Linked DNA regions of Struthio camelus. The protein of the gene in region 1 purifies or fractionates together with the protein of each later gene. This does not show direct contact. Links are inferred from orthologs where the notes say so. Each region holds a gene or a part of one and is shown in the gene's direction. Other genes may lie near its edges. The genes, in order: STAT1 and PIAS1.

Region 1 (3,916 bases):
GAAACACAGAAGTCATCTTCTATAAGATAAACATCTTAAGCCAAAGCCTTCTTCCATAAAAAGGAAGACTTTTGTCCTTAAGTCAGTATGAGTAAGATTAGGGCTCTAATAAAATAGAATGAGAAAATGTTGAAAATTACATTCTTGGATACTGACAGAAAAGATGAAACATGTGCTTTCAAGTGCTTTCACCATGTTTTGCAGCTGCAAAGTCAAAAACAACAGGAAAAAAAAATCACTAAGTGCTTTGTGTTTGACCACATCACCATGATTCAAGTTAAACGAAAACTGCTAGTTACCATCAACTATAGCATTAAAAATCTGTACACAGTACTTGGTACGATTTAAGACTTCATATCATTTCCTCCATTTTGAGGAGAAAGGGATCCAAACTAAGCCAGAAAAAGGTCTGCGCCGCTGGAGACCGGCGCCACAGCCTGAGCTGCGGTTGTAACCGGTCAGAAACAAACGAGACCCGGCACGACCGGGGGGAGCAGTGCAGTCCTAACAGACAAAACGGCTCGCACAGAGAGGGGCACGAGGAAAGGAAAACTGCCAAAACAATTCATTGGGGGGGGGGGAGGGGGGGAGAGCGGGGAATCCCAACCGGCAACATATCCGGAAAGATTATAAACACTCTTTTGTTTGCAGCTCTCATTCTTAAAAGTCACTGCAACTTAGATAGGAAACTGGGCTGCAGTTCATAAACTGACTGCCTTTCTACCAGACCTGTGCCAGTTACGTTCGTTTCTTCCACGAAGAGACGGACGAGACCGTTGCCCTTCCGCCGGCTCGGCCGGCCGCCCGCCGCCGCCGCCGCTCCTTTCGCTTTCGCCTTCCCCTCAGCCGGCCCGTTCCCCGAAATCACGTGACGCGGCTGTTCCCGGGCCTCGCTGCCCCCCCCCGCCGCGGGGAGCCGCGCCTGCGCTCTGGCGCGCGCCCGGCCGGGGGCCGTTGGTAACGGCCGCCCTCTCCCCCCCCCCCCCCAAGGAGGCGGATGCACACGCGTTCCGTGTCGGAACTTGGGTCGGGGTCAGTTTTACACTCTTTCCTCCTAGGACAGGGGCTGTCTTTTCCTACAGCCTGTTACTCCCGACACCTAACCTTCCTTCCTGTTGGCCACCTTTCCTGCAGTATCATTTGCTTCTCTTCCCCGTGTTATATTTACTCATGCGGGTTTCCGTAGGCATCGCGCACCTTTTCGTTCCTTGCTCCTAGCTGGCATATTCTCTCACATATATCCAGCTACGCTTCTAAACTTTTTTTTTTGTGCTAATATTCTTTGCAAAAGCTAGAAATCAAGAAAAATGCAGGCCTGTGCCCTAGAATGACGTTGCGCGCGGTATTTCTGCTTCATCTACTATTGGCAACGTCATTGCTGCTCCATCACACAGCAAGCGGTCGAAACCTCGGCGCATTTGGTGTTTGGCCCGCAGATTGGGCATAGTTCTGCACAGGTAGTCGGCTGGCCAGGCACCCGGACGACAGCCGTCAGGGCGGCAGCGCCCGGCCCGGCCCAGGCCGGGGTGGCGGGGGAGCCGCCCCGGGACCGCCCTGCCTCCCCGCTGCGAGAGCGAGAGGGCAAGGGCAGGGGGCGGGGCGGGGCGAGCGCGGCGGCACCGCGAGCCCATTGGCCGGGGCGGCGAAAGCGAGGCTCCCATTGGCTCTCGGGCGGGCCGTGGGGCTGCGGCTTTGCGAGTATTTCTCGGTACGGGTGGCCGTCGCGGTGCAGAGCTGGAGCGCAGCCTCGTCTTCGAGTAAGTGTGCGCGTGCGGGCCAACGGCCGCGGGGGAGGGGGGTCGCGCGAGAAGGGGGCTACTGCCGCCGCTGCCCCCCGGCCCGCGGTGGGGGGGGGGGATGGAGGGGGGTGCAGGCTCCCAGCCAGCCGGGACGGCTGCCCTGCGCTCGGCCCCCCATCTGCGAGCGCCTGCTTCGCTGGCCGTCAGCCGGAGAGCCAGAAACGATACTAAACATGAGTTGTGACAAGGCGAGCGCGGCGCCCGGCGAGGAGGGGGCGAAGCCCTGTCGCCTCGCAGCGGGAGCGGGCGGCTGCCGGCGGGACACGAAGCCGCACACAGCGGCGGGGGCTGCCGGGGAGACAGGGCCCTGCTGCCCGCAGAGAGGCACGCCGGCTGCCCTTGGGTCACCCTGACCGCCCCGGGGGAGGTGAAGCAGCAAAGCAGCCTTTCCTCCCTGCCAGTTTGCCAGGGCCGGCCTGAGCCCCCCTGCCCTGCCCTGCCACGGGTCTCGCTAACCGTTTCTCCCCGAGCGGTACCGACTTCCTCCCCGCGTGAGCGTTTCCCTGCTCGCCTCTCCAAGGATCACGCCTGCTACGTGATCACGTTGCTCTGTAACCCCCAATTCAGAGGGTTCTCCGCCAGGCTTCCCAAGCCCCTGTCCAATGTGGTTGCTTTAAGACACAGGAGGATTAGAGTACCTTATAGCAGTATTTAAGCAGTGCTTTTAAAAAGAAAGAAAGAAAAAAAACTTTGTGCATTTGGATACCCCCTTCCAGCTTTCCTCACCAGTATCATGCTTTAATTGTTGGCCTTGGTGCCACTACAGTATATTCAAATTAACTACAGTATATTCAAACTAACTGCTGTGTTTTCTAGAGTTGGAATCTTGCCCACACCAAAAAGCCCCAAAGCCCTTACTTTAAACATCATAGCATTTTTTACCTTACACTTGCTCTCGCATAGGCTATATGCAACTCTACAGTTGAGGGATCTGGCATACAAACACTAATGGATTTGGCAACAGCCCATACACAAGGTACTGCTTCACCCCCGAGTGTACATTGTCCTTTGGATAAGTCTTATCACCTTTTTGAAGAGGTTGCAGATGCAAGCGGGGTTACATGTCTCCACCTGAGCCTGACAGCTATTCCCTGGACATATCTTTACCTGCCACTACTGCAAGACACTAACCTGCAGACCAGAAAGGAGGAGATAACTGCTTTCCAGCAAGAGTCCATACATCAGAGCTAACAGCCACTCTATAACAACTCTTAACTGCGCAGCATGGCTTCTCTCAGTCATACTAGTTAATTCTAGATAACCCATGTCTACTGCAGAGACTTGAATTTAGCCTGAAAATCTGATCATAACTACTAAAGCATAATACAAAGAGAATATCTTTCAAATACGTCTCCATTTAAAGCAACCTGAGGTCTAGGCCATTTTCAGAGCAGGTAGGTAGAGACACATGTAGTACCTGAAAGTGAGCCCCTAGAAGTTTCTTTACTTTTCCAGTTACTTCTTCCACCTCTGGGGATTGGCAGGGACAATATCTGCACAGATGAAAATGGGATCTTGATCCTACCGAGTACAGGTACAGGGCACATAGCTGCTCATACATATTTAGGGATATACCCCCTTAACAGGGGGTAAGGAAGAAAGAAAGAATAGAGAATAACACTACTAGTACCCTAAGTGCTGTGAACATGGATTCAAAGGAAAAAAGAAATGCAAGTTTCCATAAAACGTGATTGAACTTTGACTTACTTGTCATGAAATAGTATGGTGACTGTCTTAATTTGCTGTATTTTTTTTAAATTAAAATGGGCATGGAAAAATTGTATTCAGTTTGATGAGTAGCTTTCTCTTGTTACATCTAAAAACCTATGTTTTTACTGAAAACACTTTTCCTTCCTGCTCATCCAATTTTACCATTTTTAATGAGAACTTTAAATGAGTGACTTTTCACTAGCTAAGTCCAAATATTAATTATTTACATTGATTTATTTTTTTTCCCTAGGATGACTCAGTGGTATCAGCTGCAGCAACTTGATTCCAAGTTTTTGGAGCAAGTTCACCAGCTGTATGATGACAGCTTTCCTATGGAAATTAGACAGTACCTAGCTCAGTGGCTGGAAAACCAAGACTGGTAAGCCTGAAGGACAGTGGTGATGTGC
Region 2 (3,916 bases), on another chromosome or scaffold:
TTGCTAAAGCATGGTAGTATACTTTCCAATATTATCACTTTAGGTTTTAGAGTTAATGGTAAAATAACTTGGGTAATGTATGTGTCTGAATATTTCAAACAGTTTGGAGAACTGGAGAGGATAAGAGTATCTGTACTCTTTAATCTTAAAGATCATTTTTGCAAATGCAAGTGCTGGTTTGGATATTCAGCAAATAGAAAAGAGTAATCTTTAGACTGCTTTCAGTGGTTGGGAAGTTGCAGAACCTCGATATGCCTAATTGGTTATGTTGGTCCTATATATACGCTTCAAATATGATGTTGAATTTGTTTTGGAATTGACTATAAAATATTCAGAGTTTTTTAAATGGTTTTGTGCAGAAGTCCTAGATAACCAGTTGTGGTAGTGGGTAGGGGGCGTTTTATTTTTCTTTGACTGCTTGGGAATCCAAAACTGTACAGAAAGATCACTTCAGCTGATGTCACAGGCCTTGCAATGTTAAAAAAAAAGTCCCTGTCAAGCACTGAAAGAAGCTTTAAAAGAGACACTAGGCTCCTAAGTTGAATTTTTGGCCGCTATTTGACCAGTGGGGAAGTACTTTAGCGCACGCGGATGATTGCTGGTTTCACTGCTTTGCCTAGTTTTGTTTCCTCAGTTCCTCAAGAAGTGAAACAGCCTAGATGTCTTACAGTGTGATTCATTAGGCCATATTGGGAGACAGACCGTGTAGAAACACGTGGTAACTAATGGAAGGCAAAGCCCAACTCCCCCATCCGCAACAGGACAAGCAGCTGTGAAGTGAGAGAAGAGGGATGAGTAAGGAAATTGCTTAATTTATATTGGAGATTGGATCTGAAGAAGTTTCCTTTAACCCAGTAATGATCATATGGACTTGCAAAAAATCAGATTACAATTTTTCTAAGTGTCTTTAACATCAGTCACTTCTCTGCCTTCCTTTGAACCTGTGCTGACTGATTAGTTACACTGCCTGGCAAAAAGTGAGAGAGGGACTTGAAAGTGAAGTAGGGTGTCAGAGTGAAGGGTTGCTGCAGTTTTTAAGTGCAAGTACTGGAGACTTGGGTATTGTCAATGTGTAACTTTTTATTCCTCTAGCTGGAAGTCATAAAGCTTGTTAAATGTTGTAGGTGTTAGGGGAGCAGTGATTAGAACATTGGTACATTAAAAGCCTTATGTCTTGTACTGGCAACTTGTCCTTGTCTCAAATTTTTACCTCAGAATTGCTGTCCTGAATTACCTATTGCAAAAGAAATTCCTTTAAAAAATTGCTGATTAGACTTTCAAAGTCAATATATCTATGTGTGAACAAGTCCTGTTTTATGTTGTATTTCAGATCATCAGTGGGAGAAGAGCAGTAATGGTATGCCTTTAAAAATTGTATGCTCACCAGGATTAAGCCACATTCTGATGTTAGTGTGTAAGATGATGTAACTTGAATACTAATTTTTTGTTTTGTTTCTTTTAAGCAAATGGTTATGAGCCTTAGAGTTTCTGAACTGCAAGTACTTCTGGGTTACGCGGGGAGGAACAAGCACGGACGAAAACACGAACTTCTCACAAAAGCACTGCATTTATTAAAGGCTGGCTGCAGTCCCGCTGTACAAATGAAAATCAAAGAACTCTATAGGCGAAGGTTCCCTCAGAAAATCATGACGCCTGCAGACTTATCTATCCCCAGTGTACACTCAAGTTCCATGCCAGCAACTTTGTCTCCGTCTACCATTCCACAGCTCAGCTATGATGGCCACCCCGCAACATCACCATTGCTTCCCGTTTCACTTCTGGGACCTAAACATGAACTGGAACTCCCCCATCTTACATCTGCGCTCCACCCTGTCCATCCCGACATCAAACTTCAGAAATTACCTTTTTATGACTTGTTGGATGAGCTGATAAAACCTACAAGTCTAGGTAAGGCTGCAAACGTTGTAATAACAATATTTGAAAACTTTTTAGGAGTAATGGATGAATTCAGCTGCTAGTGTACTATCTGGTTAAATATTGCATCACGCCACTGTTTAGAGAATTGCTATTTTTGGTAACTTTTGGAACAGATTGTTCTACAACACATGGAGAGACATCTTACGTAACGCTCATTAGTTGCTCTAGCTGAGCTACTAAGTATGGTTCAAAGTTCCATTATGTTTAAGGGGTGAGTTTGACAAGAAACAAACTAAACCTTGGAAAAAAGAGAACTTAAAGAAAATATGAACTACTGAAAGCAGGCAGTTAAACTAAAGAATGTAATTAAAAAAAAACCCCAAACCCTAAGTCCATCAAACCCAAGAAATCTAGTTGTCTGTGCTGTGAAAGAATGTCAGACTAGGTATTTGCTGTGATCCCTTATGGTTCTAACATCTGAGTTTAGGAACACTTGTGGTTCTTCTACTGTTTTGACTGTTTTGGTTTTTTTTTCCTTTTAAACTCTTGTATTAACCTATAAAACACTTGTGTAGCTGCTGAGAATATTCTGACGCTTACTGAGCGTTATATAACAATGTGTGATTTTTCTGGCTCTGACTCCGCATAACACTTAAGAGTGTGGTTAACTTTTAATACTCTTAAATACAATAGTGTGGTAGATTTCTGGAGGGACTGCTTGCATGTTGGAACGTTCTGCTGTTTTGAAACCCTGGAAAAGAATCACTTTGAGAATAGCTAGTAGGGGGAGGAGGGTATTTGTAAGGGCAGATATGGAGGGATGGTGGGTGAGTGAGTGAGGAGACTGTGCTTTGTGAAAGAGAACACTCCTAAACAGCAACGAGCAGGTAATTTCTATTAATAGACTAGTCTGCTACAGGGATGAAGGAGAGGCGTGTGAGTAGCGGTCTGTAAACTTCTGAAGTGTGATCACCTGCACAGTTGTTTGCATATTTTTTGTTTTAACCTGTTAAAGTTGAGACGTTGAGAGAGAGAGCAGTTGATAATCTCTGGAATAAAATGAAGTGTCGCTTATGGTTCAGATACTCTTTTAAGAGGTATACTATATATATTTAGCTTTAGTCTAAAATCTAATTAATTAATAAGCATTCCAGGCGGTGCTGGCGGTGCAGGATAACTGGGTAGTCAGAATGTGTCTAATCACTTTTATATTATAAATACTCCAAAAAATAATGGTATAATTTCAATAAGACATTCCAATGAAGGAGTTACAGTATGCATTTATTCCTAGAAATGGTAAGAACACTTTACTGTCAGCTTCATGCCTGACAAACCAGTCGTAAATTAAGAGATCATAATTCACACTCTGTCATGCCTTATTGCTTAAGGAGTTTATATACAATATGGTATTTTTCCCCTTTGTGGGCTCTCAGAATGTCAGGGTAGGAAAATGGAAGAAGCTGAAATTCCAGCCAAGTACCTTTCAAGCACTGTCTGTCCTTTAAATTAATAACTTATGGGTATGTTTTGTGTTTTGGTTTGCATCTGCATCCTGTGCTGCCTTTTTGCCTTGCTTATCTGAGGCAGTACTACTGAAAAGTTATTTTTCCTAAGCTTGTTGGGGAAGAGAGAGCTTCAGTGTCTATGTGAGAAACAGTTGTGTTGGTTGCTTTTGGTAGTGGTTAAGTAATGTTGTTGCAGATTATAAAATTGCTAACTACAAATGTCATGAGGATATTTTTAAGTAATTAATGTATATGCTAATCAAAAAACCCCATTGGATTAAAACCCAGTGATATACAGTTTTATACACTTTCAAAACAACTTAAAGCAATTTTGCATACAGGTCAGCAGTTTTAAACGTAAATAATGTGGACTTGTATCTCTAATTACAGAATGCAAAAAAAGCTTTGTTTAAATTTCTCCATATATACAGTTACTGATGTTTTAACTAAAAACAACATTGAAGGTTTTGCTGAACATTTGCCTCAAATGGTTGGGATATCCTCCTCACTGCTGCAAACAATGTGGGCTTGGC

The links.
Region 2: the proteins of STAT1 (region 1) and PIAS1 purify together in Homo sapiens (affinity purification with western blotting; 5 studies listed by BioGRID). This does not show direct contact. The link is inferred for Struthio camelus from reciprocal best matches to the Homo sapiens genes STAT1 and PIAS1.

What each region holds. Positions count from the first base shown.
Region 1 is NC_090947.1:14,437,770-14,441,685, forward strand, and holds the start of STAT1 (signal transducer and activator of transcription 1-alpha/beta), read left to right. Parts: upstream 1-1,575; 5' UTR 1,576-1,757; intron 1,758-2,702; exon of another isoform or gene 2,703-2,775; intron 2,776-3,759; 5' UTR 3,760-3,760; coding exon 3,761-3,888; intron 3,889-3,916. UniProt on the Homo sapiens protein: Signal transducer and transcription activator that mediates cellular responses to interferons (IFNs), cytokine KITLG/SCF and other cytokines and other growth factors.
Region 2 is NC_090953.1:2,280,807-2,284,722, reverse strand, and holds the start of PIAS1 (E3 SUMO-protein ligase PIAS1), read left to right. Parts: upstream 1-1,279; 5' UTR 1,280-1,294; coding exon 1,295-1,357; intron 1,358-1,463; coding exon 1,464-1,908; intron 1,909-3,916. UniProt on the Homo sapiens protein: Functions as an E3-type small ubiquitin-like modifier (SUMO) ligase, stabilizing the interaction between UBE2I and the substrate, and as a SUMO-tethering factor. Catalyzes sumoylation of various proteins, such as CEBPB, MRE11, MTA1, PTK2 and PML.